2 linked regions of the Oryctolagus cuniculus genome follow. Each later gene encodes a partner of the first gene's protein in a complex. Links are inferred from orthologs where the notes say so. Each region holds a gene or a part of one and is shown on either strand. Other genes may lie near its edges.

The links.
Region 2: GTF2E2 (region 1) and POLR2D share a complex: the UniProt entries of both Homo sapiens proteins name them as parts of the TBP-based Pol II pre-initiation complex. The link is inferred for Oryctolagus cuniculus from reciprocal best matches to the Homo sapiens genes GTF2E2 and POLR2D.

What each region holds. Positions count from the first base shown.
Region 1 is NC_091433.1:80,687,335-80,691,774, reverse strand, and holds the start of GTF2E2 (transcription initiation factor IIE subunit beta), read left to right. Parts: upstream 1-1,564; 5' UTR 1,565-1,787; intron 1,788-4,440. UniProt on the Homo sapiens protein: Recruits TFIIH to the initiation complex and stimulates the RNA polymerase II C-terminal domain kinase and DNA-dependent ATPase activities of TFIIH. Both TFIIH and TFIIE are required for promoter clearance by RNA polymerase.
Region 2 is NC_091434.1:121,258,952-121,262,758, forward strand, and holds part of POLR2D (DNA-directed RNA polymerase II subunit RPB4), read left to right. Parts: intron 1-126; coding exon 127-307; intron 308-3,694; coding exon 3,695-3,790; intron 3,791-3,807. UniProt on the Homo sapiens protein: Core component of RNA polymerase II (Pol II), a DNA-dependent RNA polymerase which synthesizes mRNA precursors and many functional non-coding RNAs using the four ribonucleoside triphosphates as substrates.

The sequences.
Region 1 (4,440 bases):
CAGATGGTGTCCTAAATGTGTAATAGGTGCGAGATGGCAGAATATAAATTACGAATATTGGACTCTCTGAAATCAAGTTAATGTGGCTGTTGGGAAACAAATTGGTCATGTGGTCAACCTTGGCAGCAGAGAAACAGGACCCCTTTCTGAGTTCATTTATAGGGTGATGACCATTTTTAAGCACCTCTGACACAAGAACGGGCCTAATTACAGATTATAGATCATATGAATCTATTTATGGACTTCTCTTGAGGAAATGATTCAGGGTACAGGATATCACTTAAAAGTGTTTTGAATAAATGCAGTCATTGCTTTCAGTGTTATGACCTCATCACAGGCAACTTGCAGTAGAAGCCAGAGTGATAACCACTGTTGACAACATCTATCATTTATAATTTGCACCAAAATAAACATATTTTCAAAGCCACTTTTCCATGAATTCCTTGGGTAAATACTGATTTTTTTTTTTTTAAAGATTAATGTATTTGAAAGGCAGAACAACAGAGAGTGACAGGCAGATCTTCCAACACTGATTAACTCCCCAAACAGCTGCGACACTGAGGTCTGCACCAGGCTGAGGCCAGGAGGCAGGAAGTCCTTCCCGGGCTCCCATGTGGGTGGCAGGGGTCTACGTATTTGGGTCATCTTCCGCGTTTCAAGGCATATTGGCAGGATGCTGGATCAGAGTAGTTGGGATGTGAACCACCACTTTGATATGGGATCCAGGTGTGAAAGGTGGCAGCTTAACCAGCTGTGCCACAACACCAGCCCCAAATCCTGATAATTCGGAGCGGATTGCTCAAGGCAAAGGCTCTGGTTTGACTTATGCGTTACTTCATTGTCGCCACAGTCCAAGTAGCCCATCACGGTAGTACCATTATTATCCCCATTTCCCAGAAGAGATGGAGATACAGGTTAAGTAACTTGAGGAGTAACCAGCAGTAATTAAAGGGCAGCTTCACAATAGGTAAGCGCTGGCCACGCTGCTGCTGTAGGTTCTCAGAACAGGAACGGAGAGCGGCAGAGCGCGAGCCAGGCGATGGTTTTCGTTTTATTCTTGTTTCGCTTCCAGCACCTCCTGTCGCAGTCCGAGATCCTTTGCTGTGACAGACAGCTCACAGGTGTGCGGGAAGGAGCCCGTGTGGGCTCGCCTTTGCTCTCTCTGCTGCGAACGAGTCACTTAGTTCCACGGGGCCTTTTTCGCCACTTTGAAACAGCTACAACGTTCTCTCAGGTTCAGGTGCCGGTGAGCGGCATCTGAGCGACAGTCACACAATAAACGCCGCCAGAACGCGTCGCCCTCGGGTTAGACTCCAGAGCCTGCCTGCCGAAAGAGGACTTCCTAACTTCGAATTTCGGCACAGACAGGCTGCGTCCATCTTCTTTAGCACCGCCTCCCACCTGAGTCCCGGCCTCCGCCCCGCCCCAGCCACCTTCCCGTTGTCATGGAGATCCCGACGCCCGAGCCGGCTTGTTCAGCTCCCGCGGTTACTCTCGCGGGGTACGCGATGACGCATGCGCGTTCTCGGCAGCGAAGGCGCCGCGGTGGCTGCCGGGACTGATCCTAGCTGCCTTATCAGGAAGTGGCGGGCGGGGCGGAGCCGCCGCCGCCGCCGCCGCCAGTGGCGAGACCCCTGAGCTGGCGGGTCGGCGCTGGGCGTGCGCGCAGGCTGGCGAGGGCGCTGACGAGGAGCGGGAAGCCACGGCAGCGCCGGCGGGGACGGCTGGCCGAGGCGGAGGCGCAGGGAGTCGGCGGCGGGTCGCGTGGGGCTGCCCTCTTCTCTCTGGTAAGGGCTGCGACCGCCAGGTGAGGGGCGCGAGCCCTGGCCTGTTGTTCTTCGCCCCGCGACGCGGCTCTCCTCGCAGGTCCTCACTTTTCGTGGGGCTGGGTCTCGGGACCCTTCGGACACGCTAACAGCTCCGTGGGCGCTCTGTCTTTGAGGCCTGGGGCTCACGGGACAAACTTTTGGGTTGAAAAGAGGGGGAAATCGGCAGTGGGGTCGCGCGCGGGTTGAGCCCCTCGTGGGCCGAGCGAACCGCACGTGTGCGGCTCGGGGCGCCACGGCGTCCTGCCCGCCGAGGCTGTGATTGAGTTGCTCACACCCGGACCGGCTTTCCAGCTGCCTCGGGGAGCCCGCGCTCGTGGTCTGTAATTACAGGAGTTTCCGGAGAACTCTGCAGGCGTCTGCCCCGGCAGGACGCCGGGGTCCCCCTTGGGCGCACCTCTGCGCCGTCGGTCAGCCGGGCACCCCTGGGGCTGAGGCCGGGAAAGCCGCGAAAGGCTGGAAGAGGGCGAGTCGTGGGGTGTGGGTCTGTCTCCCGGTTTCCATCTGCGGAAACACTCAGCGGTCTGTGTCGTGCTGCTGTGTTTGTAAATGTAAATCGGGCATAGTGTCGCGTCCTGTTGGCTACAGAGGTCAGTTCAGAAATGTCGAAGTCGGTACAGGCAGGTAAAGCTAGGCGGAGCGTCGGGTGGTGAAAGATCTTCATCTGCGGGCATTCCAGCGCTCAACTTGTAGGAGTCAGGGTATTCGGATCCTGGTTTATTGGCGTGTGTCAATCTCACCCTACCGCCTTAGTTTTGGATTTCACATATTAAACTAGTAACAACTGGGTCATCTGTTGTCTCCCAGAGTTATGAGGATCTGGAACTGTTAACCATTTAGGCTTTGCTAGACTGTTGGGCTTTATTTAAAATATGTTAAAGTCCTCTTTAAAAGCCTAGATTATCTACCTGTCATTACAAAGTGAGATAAACCGTTAGAAAGGTTTCCTGTTTCAGAAATTCACCACCTGGGGCCTGTGCTGTGGCTCAGCTGGGGCTGCCTGCAGTGCCGGTATACCATATGGGTGCCAGTTCGGTTTCCAGTCGCTCCACTTCCGATTCAGCTCCTTGCTAATGGCCTGGAAAAGCAGTGGGAGATGGCCCAAGTGCCTGGGCCCCAGCACCCATGTGGGAGACCTGGAAGAAGCTCCTGGCTTAGGCTGAGCCCAGTCACAGCTGTTGCTGTTTCCTCTTCTGTCTCTCTAATTCTGACTTTCAAATAAATAAACCTCCTTTTAAATTTTTTTTATTTGACAGAGAGAGGCAGAGAGAAAGGTCTTTCTTCCGTTGGTTCACCCCCCAAATGGCTGCTACGGCCGGCGATGTGCTGATCCAAAGGCAGGAACCAGGTGCCTCCTTCCTGGTCTCCCATGGGGTGCAGGGCCCAAGCACTTGGGCCATCCTCCACTGCACTCCCGGGCCACAGCACAGAGCTGGACTGGAAGAGGGGCTACCGGGACTAGGACTCGGCGCCCTTATGGGATGCTGGCACCGCAGGCGGAGGATTAACCAAGTGAGCCATGGCGCCAGCCCCTAAATAAATCAATCTTAAAAAAAAAAAAAGTTCACAACCTGCTTGTTGTCCCCATCTTCTCAGTTATGAATCTCACTTTCTTGTTGCTGTCCTCATACCATCCCACCTCCCAAAACTGCCTTCCTCACACCACAAGAATCATTCTTTTCTCTTCAGATCTTTAAATAGTGATACCAAAATAACTTATTTATATGGCTTTAAAAAATCAGTTTTGGCACTGGGATTGTGGCATAACAAATTAAGCTGTCACCTGTGATGCCGACATCCCATGTGGGTGCCAATCCAGCTCACTGCTAATGTGTCTGGGAAAGCAGAGGAAGATGACCTGAGTGCTTGGGCCCTTCCACCCTCGTGGGAGAGCGGGATGAGGTTCCTGGCTCTTGGCTTTGGCCTGCCCCATACCTGGCATTTGGGGAGTGAACTAGCAGATGAAAGATCTGTCCCTCTCTGTCACTTTGTCTTTAAAATATTTAAAAAACCAGTGTCACTTTCTTCTTACTGCTGGACTAGATGTAGACAGCATTGGTAGTGTCCTTATTTTACTTAGGAAGTTGGATCTAGAGAGGTTTTATGGATTGCCTGGCTGTGTGACTGTTAGGAATCAAAACTCAGAGAAGGTAGATGTTTGCGTTGTGGTACAGTGACTGTTCTTACTGAAGTTCACTCTGATTAGTCCTTATCAGTGCGGTGTATTTCTAATTCTTAGCACTTCAGTTCACATTTCATTCATTTTTAAAAGATTTATTTAAAGTCTGATTTAGAGGGAGAGACAGATCTTCATCTGCTGGTTCATTCCCCAAGTGGCTGCAATGGCCAGGGCTGAGACAGCCTAGAGCCAGGAACAACTTCTGGGTCTCCCATGTGGGTGACAGGGGTCCAGACACTTGGGCCGTCTTTCACTGCTTTCCCAGGCCATTAACCAGGGAGCTGGATCACAAGTGGAGAAGCCAGGACTTGAGCTGGCACCCATTTGGGATGCCGCCTTGCAGGTGGTGGCTTTACCCACCAGCCCCTGTTCATTGTTTTTAGAGCAAAGTGCTCGAGACTTCATCTTAAATCTGAGCTGCTGGAAGGCAAGGAT
Region 2 (3,807 bases), on another chromosome or scaffold:
CGGAGCCTGGGTTTGAACATAGGCACTCAGATAAGGGATGTGGGTGTCCCAAGTGGCTTCTTAAGTGCTGTGCCAAACGCTTGCCCCTGAAGGATTCTTCTCAGCTTACATTTGTGCCTCTGACAGAGTTTGAAACAGCTGAGACACTTCTAAATTCCGAGGTGCATATGCTTCTGGAGCATCGCAAGCAGCAGAACGAGAGTGCAGAGGATGAACAGGAACTCTCGGAGGTCTTCATGAAGACTTTGACCTACACAGCCCGTTTCAGTCGTTTCAAAAACAGAGAGACCATTGCCAGTGTCCGCAGGTGAGTGCTAAAAGAAAGTCTGTTAGTCCAACTTGTTGGACATCTACATGTGTAACATTGTTCACTCTTGCTTTTCCCAACATCATCTGTGAAGGTTTTTGTTTTTTTTTTTTTTTTTTTTTTTTTTAAGATTGATTTATTTAGGGGCCGGTGCTGTGCTGTAGCAGGTAAAGCCTCCACCTGCAGTGCTAACATCAATACTGGTGCCGGTTTCAGTTCCAGCTGCTTCACTTCCCATCCAGCTCTCTGCTAATGTGCCTGGGAAGGCAGTGGAAGATGGCCCAAATGCTTGGGCTCCTGCACCCATGTGGGAGACCCAGAAGAAGCTGCTGGCTCCTGGCTTCCAATTGGCCCAGTTCAGGATGTTGTAGCCATTTGGGGAGTGGACCAGAGGATGGAAGATTCTCTCTCTTTCTCTCTGCCTTTGCCTCTCCCTCTCTGTAACTCCACCTTTCAAATAAGATTTATTTTGTAACTAGAAAGGTGGAGTTACAGAGAGGGAGGGAGGGAGGGAGGGAGGGAGAGAGAGAGAGAGAGGTCTTCCATCTGCTGGTTGAGAGAGAGAGAGAGAGAGAGGTCTTCCATCTGCTGGTTTACTCCCCAAATGGCTGCAACGGCCAGGAATGGGCAAGATTGAAGCCAGGAGCTAGGAACTTTATCTGGGTCTCCCATATGGGTACTGGCGCCCAAACACTTGGGCCTTCTTCCGCTGCCTTCCCAGGCACATAAGCAGAGAGCTGAGTGAGAAATGGAGCAGCCAGGACTCAGAGCAGCATCTGTATGGGATGCTGGGCATTGCACGTGGTGGCTTGTGCTGCTATGCCATGACTCCAACCCCCGTGTGAATTTAATATAAGTAAAGTAACATCATTGTCAAAAAATTTTAATTGTTTATAAGGCCAAAATTATCTTGAGCCACCATCTTTTATACCTAAATCACAGTTTGATAGAATTTAAAGATTTTTAATTAAGCAGATTTACTTATTTTGTGCCTAAAACATCATAGAGATCTTTGCATGGTAATAAATGTAGATCCAGAACATTCTTTCTGGGAGACACAGTGAGGTGCTTGGGCTTAAAGGAGGCTATAGGAAAAACAGCTAGGCCAAATGCCTCCTCCACCCTGGTTTTTTTCTTATCAGAAAGCTGAAGATCATTTCTGAAACTAAATTTACCACAGATGAGCTCTATTTTAAGAGGCAGAGGTGGGGCAACTGCTGTGGCACAGCGGGTAAAGCTGCCGCTTGGGACACCTGCATCCCATATGGGCACCAGTTGGAGTCCCAGGTGCTCCACTTCGGTCCTGCTCTCTGCTAATGCTCTTGAGAAAGCAGTGGAGGATGGCCTTATTTCTTGGGTCCTTGCACCCACGTGGGAAGTTCCTGGAAGAAGTTCCTGGCTCCTGGGTTTGGATCTGCCCAGCTCCAGTGTTATGACCATTTGGGGAGTGAACCAGCAGATGGAAGATCTGTCTCTCAGTAACTCTGCCTTTCAAATAAATAAGTTTTTAAAAGAAAAAAAAAAGAGAAAAGAGGTAGAGTGATGAACATTCAAGACAGTATTTGTGCTGACAGTGTTCCAAACAGGACTTGTATGTTTACTGATTTATTTATTTACTTATTTGAAAGGCAGAGTTACAGAGAGACAGAGGCAGAGAGAGAGAGAGAGAGAGAGAGAGGTCTTCCATCCACTGGTTCACTCCCCAGATGGCTGCAATGGCCAGAGCTGGTCCAATCTGAAGCCAGGAGCCAGGAGTCTCTTCCTGGGTCTCCCATGGGGGTGCAGGGGCCCAGGGACTTGGGCCATCTTCCACTACTCTCCCAGGCCATAGCAGAGAGCTGAATCAGAAGTGGAGCAGCTGGAACTAGAATCAGTGCCTATATGGGATGCTGGCACTGCAGGTGGTGGCTTTTCCTGCTATACCACAGCACCGGCCTCTGTATGTTTAATTAAGATATGTTTCATACACCAGTATGCACAAAATAGGGTAGTCTGTATTCCTATTTAGATAAATTTTAAAGAGAATTTCCTCCCTGTCAAAATACCTATTAAATCGGGAACAGCTAACATTATGTGCTTAATGTAAAATTAAGAGGGGTGGGCGTTTGACCTATCAGTTAAGACGTTAGTTGGGATACTTGCCTTCCATATTGGAGTTCAGTCCCACTTTTTTTTTTTTTTTTTTTTTAAGATTTATTCATTTATTTGAAAGGCAGAGTTACATAGAGGCAGAGAGAGAGGTCTTCCATCTGCTGGTTCACTCTTCAAATGGTCGCAATGGCCAGAGCTGGGTTGATCAGGAGCCAGGAGCCTCCTCCAGGTCTCCCATGCAGGTGCAGAAACCCAAGGACCGGGCCATCTTCCACCACATTCCCAGGCCATAGCAGTGAGCTAAGCTAGATCCAAAGTGGAGCAGCCAGGACTCCCAACTGGCATCCATATAGGATACTGGCACTGTAGGCAGCAACCTCGCACTCTGTGCCACAGCACCAGCCCCCAGTCCCACTTTTAATTCCAGCTTCCTGCTAGTGTGCCCTCTGCAGAGCAGCAGGTCATGGCCCTAGTAGTTGATTTCTGTTACCATGTCACCACTGAGTTCCCAGCTCCCACCTTCCTTCTGGCTGTTGCATGTGAGGAGTGTACCACTGGACAGGAGTTCAATGCCTCTCTTTGTCTGGCTCTCAAATAAGTTAATTTCTTCAAAAAAATTTTTTTGAGATTGATTTATTAAAAGGGCAGAGAGGAAGAGACAGAAATTTTCCATTCACTGGTTCACCTCTCAAATGCCAACAATAGACAAGTCTGGGCCAAGCTTAACGCCAGGAGCCAGGAACCCTGGTCTCCTACCTGAGTTACAGGGACCTGAGTATTTGTACCATCTTCCACTGCCTTCCCAGGCATGTTAGCAGGAAGCTAGATCAGAAACAGAGCACCTAGGACTTAACCCAGTACTCCTTATGAGATGCCTGTGTCACAAGTGGTGGCTTAACCCACCGTGTCACAACGCTGGCCCCTCCCGATAAATAATTTTTTAAAAATTAGTAATATAAGAGTCAAAGAGGTATAGTAGAAAGAATAGTAACAAGAAAATAAATTTCTGGGCAAAAAGTGGTATCGTCTGAGGTATGAAGTAGTTTTTCACAGGTTGTGGCAGGTGCTCCTCTACCTGGTGTGTCTCCTCTCTTTCATCTCTGCCTAAGTTCACTGCAGCTTCCTGTTCTTTAGAGGCAGAAACAGGAAGTAATTTGAAAGTAGAATTCTGCAGCCCACATAACCGTAAAGAGAAGGTTGCAGATGCTTCACGTTTTCTCTTTGCTCCCCACAGTTTTTCTTGTTGATCATTCTTTGATTGGGTTGTTTTGTTTGGATTTTCCTCTCTATGACCAGCTTGCTGCTCCAGAAGAAGCTTCATAAGTTTGAGTTGGCCTGTTTAGCCAACCTTTGTCCAGAGACTGCCGAGGAGTCAAAGGCCCTGATCCCAAGGTTAGTACAGCTGTGAG